Cricetulus griseus: one gene and its partners. The protein of the gene in region 3 purifies or fractionates together with the protein of the main gene of each other region. This does not show direct contact. Links are inferred from orthologs where the notes say so. Each region holds a gene or a part of one and is shown on either strand. Other genes may lie near its edges. The genes, in order: Gnpat, Atp2b4 and Bsg.

Region 1 (3,470 bases), on a different chromosome or scaffold from region 3:
AGTAGCTGAAAGGCTTTGTGCTCCTGTTCTGACCACAGGAGATACACAACTATGACAGTTTGGCTTCAAGATACTTACTCATTCAGGAGATGCTATTACCAGTGGTTCTCAACCTGTGGGTCACACCTCCTAACTCTTTCACAGGGATCAAATATCAGATATTTACATTGTGACTCAGCAGCAGCAAAATTACAGTTATGAAGTAGCAATGAAATAATTTTATGGTTAGGGTCACCACAAATGAGGAACTGTATTGAAGGGTCACAGCATTAGGAAGGTTAAGAACCACTGCTCTACACACACACACACACACACACACACACACACACACCCCTACCTTCTGATCACATAGGATACAATTCTGAGTTTGGCTTCAACTTTATCACTGGGATACTCATTCAGTTAGGAGATCTGTCTTTCTTCATCTATATACATTCATGTACACACCCACACACATTACCTATACTCTTTTCTGTAATTAATCTAGGAAATGCAGTCTAAGGTCAAGCCAAACCTGGGCTAGAGTTCATTCATAATTTTGTGACATGGAGGTTCCCTGGAAAATTGTACTGATCTGATCTTGAGGGCAAGAGGAAAAGAAACAGCACTGTACTTCATGAAAGACACATTCCTGTGTCACTGGGTCCTGGGCTTCAGTGTCATTCCTCACCTTGACCCCATTAGCACCTGGTACTTACACCTTCTTCCTTTCTACCACTCCGAGTCTCACAAAAGCTGCTAAGGCATTTTTCTGCAGGTCAGAAGACAGTGCATCAAAACACTGAGAGGCGCCTGCAAAGAGGGGAAGAGGGCAAACGATCATTCCTATTCTTAGCTGAGAAACCACCACCCAGAGATGAGATGTGACTGACCTTGATCTAGAAGCTGACTGGTGAACTTCCTAACTGCAACCAAGTACTGTTTCTCAGTGAAGCAGTCTTCTTCTTCATGTAAGAGGTATTTGGAAACTATCTGATTTCAAGAGGGAGAATGAATGGAACACAGAGAAAGGGGGTAGCCAAATACAAGAGCATGATGGCCAAATTGCCCTCATTAAGAATAACACCTCCACAATCTGCAGAACTTCTAACATAGCTCTTTTGAACTTTCAGCAGCTTTTACAATTAGAAAAGGACAATTTGAAATGACATTTGTCAAGAGTTTAATTTCTCATCTCAGCTGATTGCAAGACAATCACTTCCAGTTTCATATCTTGGGCTGCCTGGGGAGAGGACCTACTCGTCCTTCTGAGTGCACAGAGTGCAGGCCCTCAAGCACTGGCTGATTCCCAGTTTATCAAGTGCCCATCCCATGCTAGACTTTGTGGGAAGTGTGGGACGAGGTCAGCTCTGGGATTAGTCACCATTGTCCACCCATCACAGGTGCTCACAGTCAGTATATAAGCAATGAGTTAAGAGTCACAGATGCCTCTTTTCTGAAATGCCTATATACCCAACCATATGCATTTCAAATTCCCTCCCTCCCTAGAATACTGCCGCAGTGCAGTGTCTGAAACCAGTCCTATGCTCTTTCCTGGGTGTCTGTGCAGGATCTTGCTCTTTTTCTTCTGGAAGCAGAGTGAGTGTTCAGTACAATGAAAGGAGAAGGCATTCAAGTCTTGTGCTCACTTAGTGACCACTCTGTATCAACATTAGCCATACAAAGAACACAGGAAGACACAGCATGAATGTAGTTCTGTGTGCAATCATGGGTTCACAGGGGTGCTACCCTCAGAAAATGACAGGCCCAGCCCCTCCTGCTTGTCCCTGAGTAGACATGGAACTTACTTATCTGGGCCCACTATTCAACTGGCACATGCTCACCCCCCACACCAGAAGTAATTTCAGGAATAAAGTCTTACAATACTAATGTGGAGATATTCAGCATTTGCAAACTTCACATACCTGGTATGATTCTACAAAAGGTTTAAAGAGCCCTATGAGAAATTCTAACACAGCATTCCCTTTATTTGTGATGATGATGGCCTTCCCAGTCATCTGTATAGCCTCAGTTTTACACAGCAAGTAACAGCCTTCCTCGAAGTCCTAGAAAGGGAAAGGGGAGGCACATATGTATGTGTACCCCAACATCACTAGGCCCACAGCTCCGCAGGACCACCTGACTATGCACTGAAGCTGGGAGCATTTGTTCCCACACTCAAGTGCCAACCCTCAAACATGTAAAAATACAGCATCTGTGAAGCTGTGGCCCGGGAGACAAGACAGACAGAATCTCCCTCTCTCCCTCCCTTTCCCCCTCCCCCCTCTGTCTCTGTCTCTGTCTCTGTCTCTCTCTCTCTCTCTCTCTCACACACACACACACACACACACACACACCAGGTGTTCTTCACTTGACACTGAAACACTTCCTTAAATTTAATAGCAAAACCAGAAAACCTGCCAGTCCTCACTTCTCCCAACCCAACTCCCACAGAGCACAGGAAAACCCTCTCCTTAACACACATATAGCACCTTCTGTCTATCTGCCTGCCTCTGCCCATACCAGCAAAGCCACAGACCACACAGCTGTCCCATTGCCAGGCAGGCCCGCCACAGGCCCACTCTCAGAGGAAATGTGCTGTTGTGCTGGAGCATGCCAGGGATCCTCACTTCTGGAACATGCACCGTGGCATGCTTGCTCTGAGCTGTCAGAACTTACCCTGAGTGTGTTTCCTGGAAGGAAGATGAACTCATCTGAAAACACGTTGCGTAGAAAGGAAAAGCAACTGAAGACATCCTCTGGAAAGAACCCATTTCACAACATTAAGACATAGCTTTTGATCTTGTAGTCCTTCAAATGTGTGTGTACGAATGTAACAAGGAAATAATTAAGTCCTTAAAGGAAGCTGAAGTTAACCCAAAGTTTATCTGAAGGACAGACTAGAGTCCAGCAGAGTTTAAAAGGGCTGAATTAAACAAGGCCTCAAATCCCTCAATCTAGAAATGGGCAAGATGCCATCATCCTTAGAATTTCCTCAGCTGCCTCCTATTCTCCTGTCTACCATTTCTTTACTGTGACTGTGTTTCTGGGTCAACACACACACACACACACACACACACACACACACACACACACACACACACACACACCAAGGTGTGCCCCCGAGACAAACTGAAGGATATTCTCTGGGGTGGAACCCCATTATCCTCAGGCAGATCTAGGTAGGCCCAGCCTGCATAACTCATTTCACCTCATTGTGATCTGACACCACTGTGCATTGTACAGTGACAGTGGTGGTGTCCTATCTGCCTCTGCTAGGGCTGTCACAGCAAAAACTGCATCGGACCAGGACCTGGGCAATGGTGTTCCTAATTCGGAGCCTCTCTAGTAATTATAGGACTCTCTGGATCTAACTGCCCTTATTTTTAACAGGCACAGCTAGTGCTAGTTTATTGTGTGTGTATGTCTAAGGATACTGAATGCACCAAACATGCATATGGAAAATCAGAGGGCAACTGTCAGGAGTTGGT
Region 2 (3,752 bases), about 45 Mb from region 3:
TGAGAGGCTGACAATAGGGCAGGTCACAGACGCTGCTAGACGGGAGGGATCCAGCTTCTGCTGCAGTATTCCCAACCCTGCAGTTCTCACGGCTCGGAGAGGTGGGGGTACAGCTGGGCTGAAAAGCGGTCTCCCCAGCTGCCCAAGACCCAGGACACATGGCCATTAGAACAGGCACCCTAGTGCGCGCTAAGCAGACACCTCAGGCAGCAGCCATCCTTATCCACCAGAATTGGTCCCTCCCCCGGGATTCCCGCCTCCCCTTCCGATAGAAGAAGGGCACCAATTCTTGTTGGGATCAGACCACAGGTGGGGTAGAGTGGCCAAAGGGTCTGATCCATTACCAAACACCTGCAAATGAAAGCTCGCTCTGGTGGCTTCCCTGGCTACCTTTTAACCTCTCCTTCTATTTCTTCCTCAGGTTCTCAGCAAGGCTTTTCTCATAGCCCACATTATAGGGTCCTCCTGTTTTGAAATTCTTCTCTCCCCTAGGCCCCTTGCCATGCTGGTCCCAGCCCGAAATAACCCTGGTCTCCTCCCTTCCAGATAAGGAGATCCCAGACCAGGGGGGTGCTATAGGAAAGGGTCTCTTAAGTGGGAAGAGCCAGGAACAAGGGGAGTTCATGTGGGTGGGTGGGGGTGTCAAGCATGGAAGGAGTGAATCTGAAGACTCCCTGCCACACACCCCAACTGGAGGAAAAGATGGCCTGCAGAACGGGAATTCGTTTTCCCTCCCTCCCCACTTCTCTTTCCTTCTCAGCGTCACAGCAGCCGCCTGACTTCTTCACCTGACACCCGACCAGCCCACCTGGCCAGCATCAGATCCGGAGGGCATTGTGCGTCCTGCAGGAGTACCCTGGAAGAAGATGCCTCCGGCCAGGGCGCGCTCTCCCTGCTCGCAGGATTTGCTGGGCCCCTCCTCCCATCTCCCCACGCGGCTGGAGAGAAGCAAGTAGGCATTCTTCTAGAGGTGGACCAGAGTATAGGCTGGACTCATCTCAAGGAAAGACGCCAGCCGGCCCGCACTACCAAAACAGGGAGAGAGGAGAAAGAGGGAGCAACTCCAGCCTTAGTGTCTATCTCTAAAGCGATCTGTTCAGGGACCCTCTCAAGATGCCAGAGGCCCAAGCCGGCCACCTCACAGCCTGGGGCTTGAAACTGAAAACTTTTCAGTGTGCCCCTTCTCTTTCCTTCCCTATAGAATCAGAGATGCGTGGGGCGGTGCCCTTAGAGACACTCATACAGTTGGTTCTGGACGCTTACGCTCACTCAAACAACAGCAGTGAGAGGGAACTCCCAGCTTTTTCCACAGCTAATTATAGACGTCAAAGTCTGAGGATGTTTTGTAAGCCGCAGAGAGAAACTGCTGAGGTTTCTATGCAAAGCCAAAGAAATTTAATTTGTGCACTCCTGGTTCTCACCCTCCAACTTCTCCTAGCCTATCTCCACCTTATGCGCCCCCCCCCCCCCCGTGAGCTCCCTCCTTGGCGCTAAGGCCTTCCTTCCCGCTGAAGATTTATTTGGTCCTATTTTTCCCATCTCTCTTTGGGGCTTTCGAGAAAGGGAACAGACGCGGAAAATATTTTTTTTCCGCAACAGTTTTCCATTCTGCGGCTGGTTCCCAAGCCGAGGGGGAGGGGGAGAGCAGGAGCGGATGGGGGTCGGCTGGAATAAATACTTGTTCCGAGAGCTTAATTTGGGTGAGAAAAAGGCAGTCCCTCCATTTCCCCACCCATCCCATGATCCAGAGGAAAACGCAAAGGGATCACTTGTTTGATTAGATGGTTCTTCAGAACCCAGGGAAGAATACAGTGTTGAAGACATTCTCATTTTCTCCCCCCACCTCTGTCTCCTATTCCACCACCCCACCCTCCCAGAATTTGCTAGCATGAGGAAATTCGGATACTTTGAGAAGCTATTGAGAGGAAAGAAAGAAACAAAGTTTGCAAATCCCAGAGTCAATTCATTCTCTGCAAACCTACCTCTCTTTCTAGCAAAGATTCAGGTGTCTCCAAGCGGGACTCTCCCTCAGCGTTTCCATGGACCGAGTAGGGTGGGGTGACCACCCACCGCTCTCCCCAGTGTGGCAAACCACCTAGTGATGCTGGCTTTGCTCTCTGGCCACAGCTGGGGGAGTGGACTGAGTCTTCTTCCCCAGCCCTTCCACGCGAAGGACCTTCCTGGAAGAAAATGGGTGCAGGGAGCTGGGCGGGTGTCTGACCTCGCCGTCTTCGGAGGGATGGTCCCCCAGGAAGTTCGTACTCCCACCCCACCCCCAGCCTAGGACGGTCTCAACAGAAGAGCTGTCTTAAGAAAATGCTTGTCATGGCAACAGCTCCAGCCAACTCTGGCCAGACTGGGGCTCCCCAGCTCTCCCCCAGCAGGGCGGGAGGAGAAAGGGGCGGAGCGCGAGCCGGCGGGGGTGGGGTTTGGCGGGAGGCCAAAGCATTGCTCAGCTCTTAAGGTAGCCCGAGAGCAAGGCGCGGCGGAATGATGCTTCTTGGTCCGTCTTAAGGGGGAATGGGGAAGGGTAGGGGGAATCCTCTGCCCTCTTGGCTTTCTCCCAGCGCTGGTTCTTACTTGTTGAAAGGGGAGCAGAGCAGGCGTGGGTGTGGGTGGAGGTGGGAATGGATGTGGGCAGCGGTCTTCAACCGTTGCTGCGTGGAGGGGAAATAAAGGAAGTGTCTGCAAGCCATTCTGTTTCCTGCAGCTCCTCCAGGCCTCTCATTCTCATACTGATTTAGACTCAGGACCACGAAACCTCAGGAGGCTGTGGGCATCTGCCCTACTGACCCAGTCTGAACTGGGAGTTCACTGTCAAAGACGAGGCAATTGCTCAGGGTGCCCACACACATAGGTGCCTCCTCACCCTCAGACCCAGGTCACATCTTGCTCTCTCTTGCTTGTGTACCCAACCAAAGGCATGTCCACAGGGCATAGAATGGCTGCTCGCCTGTGTGTGGCTGAACACCCAAATCTTTGCATCTACAATATCGTTTTTAGCCCTGGTGGCAGTCTCAAAAAGGTACTCATTACTGTCCTGGTTTCATGGTTGAGGAAATTAAAGATTGAGCGACTTGCTCAAGGTTACCCATCTGGTTAATGACAGCCAGGATTCAGGGGCAAGTCAGATCAGACCCATTCCAGAGACTATGTGCTTCCCTATCCCTGTATCATACTATGTCACACATTTCCATCCTAGCGCGTACACACTGAGACATCCGTACACACTTAGACACAGCCTATAAACTGTTAATCACACCCCCGTGCCACACACCCACCAGCATTGTGCAACAGTGCCACCCATAGCTTTTGCATGGAACCTTATGGCTTTCAAGTACAAACATGCACCATCAGCTGGCTCACACAACACATCTTCATTGACGGATACATTCCCACACCTACCTCAGCAGACATACTCACTCATGTTTACATGCTTATGAAAGGCAGGCTAACACAACCTCACAGGTTATAGAGTACTGTATAGGGGAAGAAGGGGATTATTACGGTTCCCCAACCTATTAATAGAGCTTCAAAAATGCTCCAGTACCTAACCAGGCATGGTGAGTATACCTGTAATCCTAGCAAGCAGAAGGCTGAGACAGAAGGACTGTTAGGAATTTGAAGCCAGCCTGGGCTACACAGTGGGAGCCAGGCCAGCTATAACTACACAGCAAACAAGAGCCTGTCTTGAACAAATAAACAAAGACTTGTGTGCAAGAAGAAACAAAGCCTAGAAGAAGACCAAGAGC
Region 3 (2,581 bases):
CGGCTTGAAGCTGTCAATCCTGTGGCCCCCAGGTGGCGTCCATTTCCCACAACCGAGCACACTAGGCCAGAGGGCAGCACAGGACACCAGCGGTGGTCAACAGTGCCCTCAAGAGGCCAACTTTGCTCAGACATACTCGGCCAGTGTGGCTCTCAGCTCCTTTGCGTGTCAAAGGATACTTTCACAGGGTTGCATTCGTATATCTACATTATGATTCCTTAACAGTAGTAAAATCAGTTATGAAGTGGCAGTGAATATAACTTTATGGTGGGGTGGTAGCATTCACCTTTAATCCCAGCACTCAGGAGGTAGTGGCAGTGGCAGTGGCAGTGGCAGGCCAGCCTAGTCTACAAGTTCCAGGACAGCCAGGGCTACACAGAGAAACCCTATCTTGAAAAACCAACCAACAAACAAATAAATCTTAATGAATTATGGTTGGTTGGAAGGGTCATTGCATCAGGAAGGTTGAGAACTACTGCCCACATCTCAAGCCGTCCCTGATCTCAACGCTCACTATCCCATAAAGATGGGCTTTGGGAAACCACAGTGAACACACACATGGTGGGGTAGGTCTTTATTTGTGGAGTCCCAGCAGACCCAGCCCATGTTGCCCATGGTGGGGATGGGCAGTCCCATACAGAGGAGTAGGTGGTGGAGCCGGGAGGTTGGCCTGGCCTCATGGACAAGGACAAGGCCCCACTCCCCCACTCTACAGGGCAGTAGTGACACTACTAAAAAGGGAGGGAAAAATCGAAAACAACAGAAACCCCTAATGAACGAATTCTCTGTATAGAAACCTCGTTTAAACTAGAAACGGGTGTTGCGGGTGGCTTGCTTCTTCCAGGTGGGCTTACTCTGCAAGGCGAGGCTCTGTCTTCACCCAGGTTGGGATAGGAGGTTGGGGTGGATAGATACGGGTTAGGACAGGATAGGACAGTATGGGAGTGGAGGTAGATGCTGGGCTGGGGTTAGGCGCCCAGATTACCCCCACCCCGCCTACTCTGCCACTCAAGTGGCGTTCCTCTGGCGTACATTCTTGTCCTTGTCGTTCATGTGATGACCACTGCCCTTCCTGAGGATACAGAAAAGGGTTCAGCACTCTGAGGCTCAGGGCTGGCCTCAACCACCACCACCAACGCCCCCCCCCCCCCCCCCAGCCAGAGTCTGCAAGCTGCCTTTTGTTCCAATAGGAGCCATCTACCTTCCCTGAATCCACTGAGGCCATGAAAGATGGATGCACTCTATTGGACACCCCCTCCCCCGTTCCTACAGGACAATAGCAGCTCCCCCGAGGGCTCGCAGTGAGCTGGACTTACAGTGGGGCGGCACCAGGGTCATCCTCTGCGATGATGAGCAACCACATGAGAGAGGGGGGGGGAGGGAGACAGGTGTCAGTACCCACTAAGGTTCTTCCAGCAGCGGTCCCTCCCTCAGTCGGGCTTGCTTGAACCTTGCCCTGCATTGCCACCCTCAAGGTGATGCACAGGTGTCATGCATTTGGTGATCAGCACATGGCGGGGCCAACACATCCCAAACCCCACGCTCGCTGTGCAGCCCACCGCTGGAGGCACCCATAGCTCGAAGCCCCACACAGCTGCTGTCTGAGCCACTGGGGAGAGCTCACCACAGAGGAGACTAGCTTGTGGCCAAGTGGAGGAGGAGAAAGGACGATGAGCCAGGAGCAGATCACGTTTCTCCCCCAGGTGGACACAATGAGGGTGTCCCACCCACTCACCCAGACCCAGGGATGCTCACCGTCCAGGGTCTGGTCCGGCTTCCGTCGCTTCTCATAAATGAAGATGATAGTGACCAACACCAGGACCTCAGCCACGATGCCCAGGAAGGGCCAGAGGGCTGCTAGGCGGCTTCGCACACGCAGTGTCATTATCTCCTGGACACTGCCCTGGGTGTTGGTGGCGTTACACATGTAGGTACCAGGGTCACTATTTATGTCAAGGTTGCTGATGGTCAGCTCTGATCTGTCAGCTGTGGATATCACGACGTACTTGCTCTCAGAGCTGTTGGTGATCAGCTGGGGAAGAGGGGCTCGTCATGTTCTACCATAGCCCTTCCTTCACTCTTCCAAGAGCCCCACAATACCCCTCCATGAACCCTTTTTGTCAGTCATCCCTGAAGCCTCATGTCCCATAACAGCCCCGCGTCTCCCCACCCCCTTTCATCCCTAAGTACTGTGTCCACCACAGCCCTCCACTGTCTCTCATTACAACTCTCCCTTTCCTAGAGCCCTGGACCCCCTTCTGCTGCGCCACTGCCAGAACCCCATGTTCCCACCACAGCTCTCACCTGGTCCCCAGAGTCAGAGGTCTTAAACCAGGACCACTCAGTGACAGGGGGGTGAGATGACTCAGACTTGCAGATCAGCCTCACATTTTCTCCCTCACTGGAATGTTCTGACTTCTTCCCGACCTTGATCCTGGGTGGCCCTGGGATGAGGGGAGAGCCTGGTGCCCAAGCCTGCAAATTGCTTCGGCCCCGCGCCCCAACCACACCCTAGCTACCCAGGTTACCCTCCACAACGATGTTGCTCCTGCCCACGGGCTCAGGAAGGAAGATGCAGGCA

Evidence for each region.
Region 1: the proteins of Bsg (region 3) and Gnpat purify together in Homo sapiens (affinity purification with mass spectrometry; 3 studies listed by BioGRID and IntAct, counting the BioPlex papers as one, with this or other methods). This does not show direct contact. The link is inferred for Cricetulus griseus from reciprocal best matches to the Homo sapiens genes BSG and GNPAT.
Region 2: the proteins of Bsg (region 3) and Atp2b4 purify together in Homo sapiens (affinity purification with mass spectrometry; 3 studies listed by BioGRID and IntAct, counting the BioPlex papers as one, with this or other methods). This does not show direct contact. The link is inferred for Cricetulus griseus from reciprocal best matches to the Homo sapiens genes BSG and ATP2B4.

The regions. Positions count from the first base shown.
Region 1 is NC_048596.1:201,628,784-201,632,253, reverse strand, and holds part of Gnpat (dihydroxyacetone phosphate acyltransferase), read right to left. Parts: intron 2,739-3,470; coding exon 2,659-2,738; intron 2,046-2,658; coding exon 1,905-2,045; intron 973-1,904; coding exon 873-972; intron 793-872; coding exon 699-792; exon of another isoform or gene 671-698; intron 1-670. UniProt on the Homo sapiens protein: Dihydroxyacetonephosphate acyltransferase catalyzing the first step in the biosynthesis of plasmalogens, a subset of phospholipids that differ from other glycerolipids by having an alkyl chain attached through a vinyl ether linkage at the sn-1 position of the glycerol backbone, and which unique physical properties have an impact on various aspects of cell signaling and membrane biology.
Region 2 is NC_048598.1:55,393,643-55,397,394, reverse strand, and holds the start of Atp2b4 (plasma membrane calcium-transporting ATPase 4), read right to left. Parts: upstream 2,359-3,752; 5' UTR 1,983-2,358; intron 1-1,982. UniProt on the Homo sapiens protein: Calcium/calmodulin-regulated and magnesium-dependent enzyme that catalyzes the hydrolysis of ATP coupled with the transport of calcium out of the cell. By regulating sperm cell calcium homeostasis, may play a role in sperm motility.
Region 3 is NC_048598.1:100,520,474-100,523,054, reverse strand, and holds the end of Bsg (basigin), read right to left. Parts: coding exon 2,529-2,581; intron 2,445-2,528; coding exon 2,305-2,444; intron 2,033-2,304; coding exon 1,756-2,032; intron 1,342-1,755; coding exon 1,317-1,341; intron 1,073-1,316; coding exon 1,009-1,072; 3' UTR 560-1,008; downstream 1-559.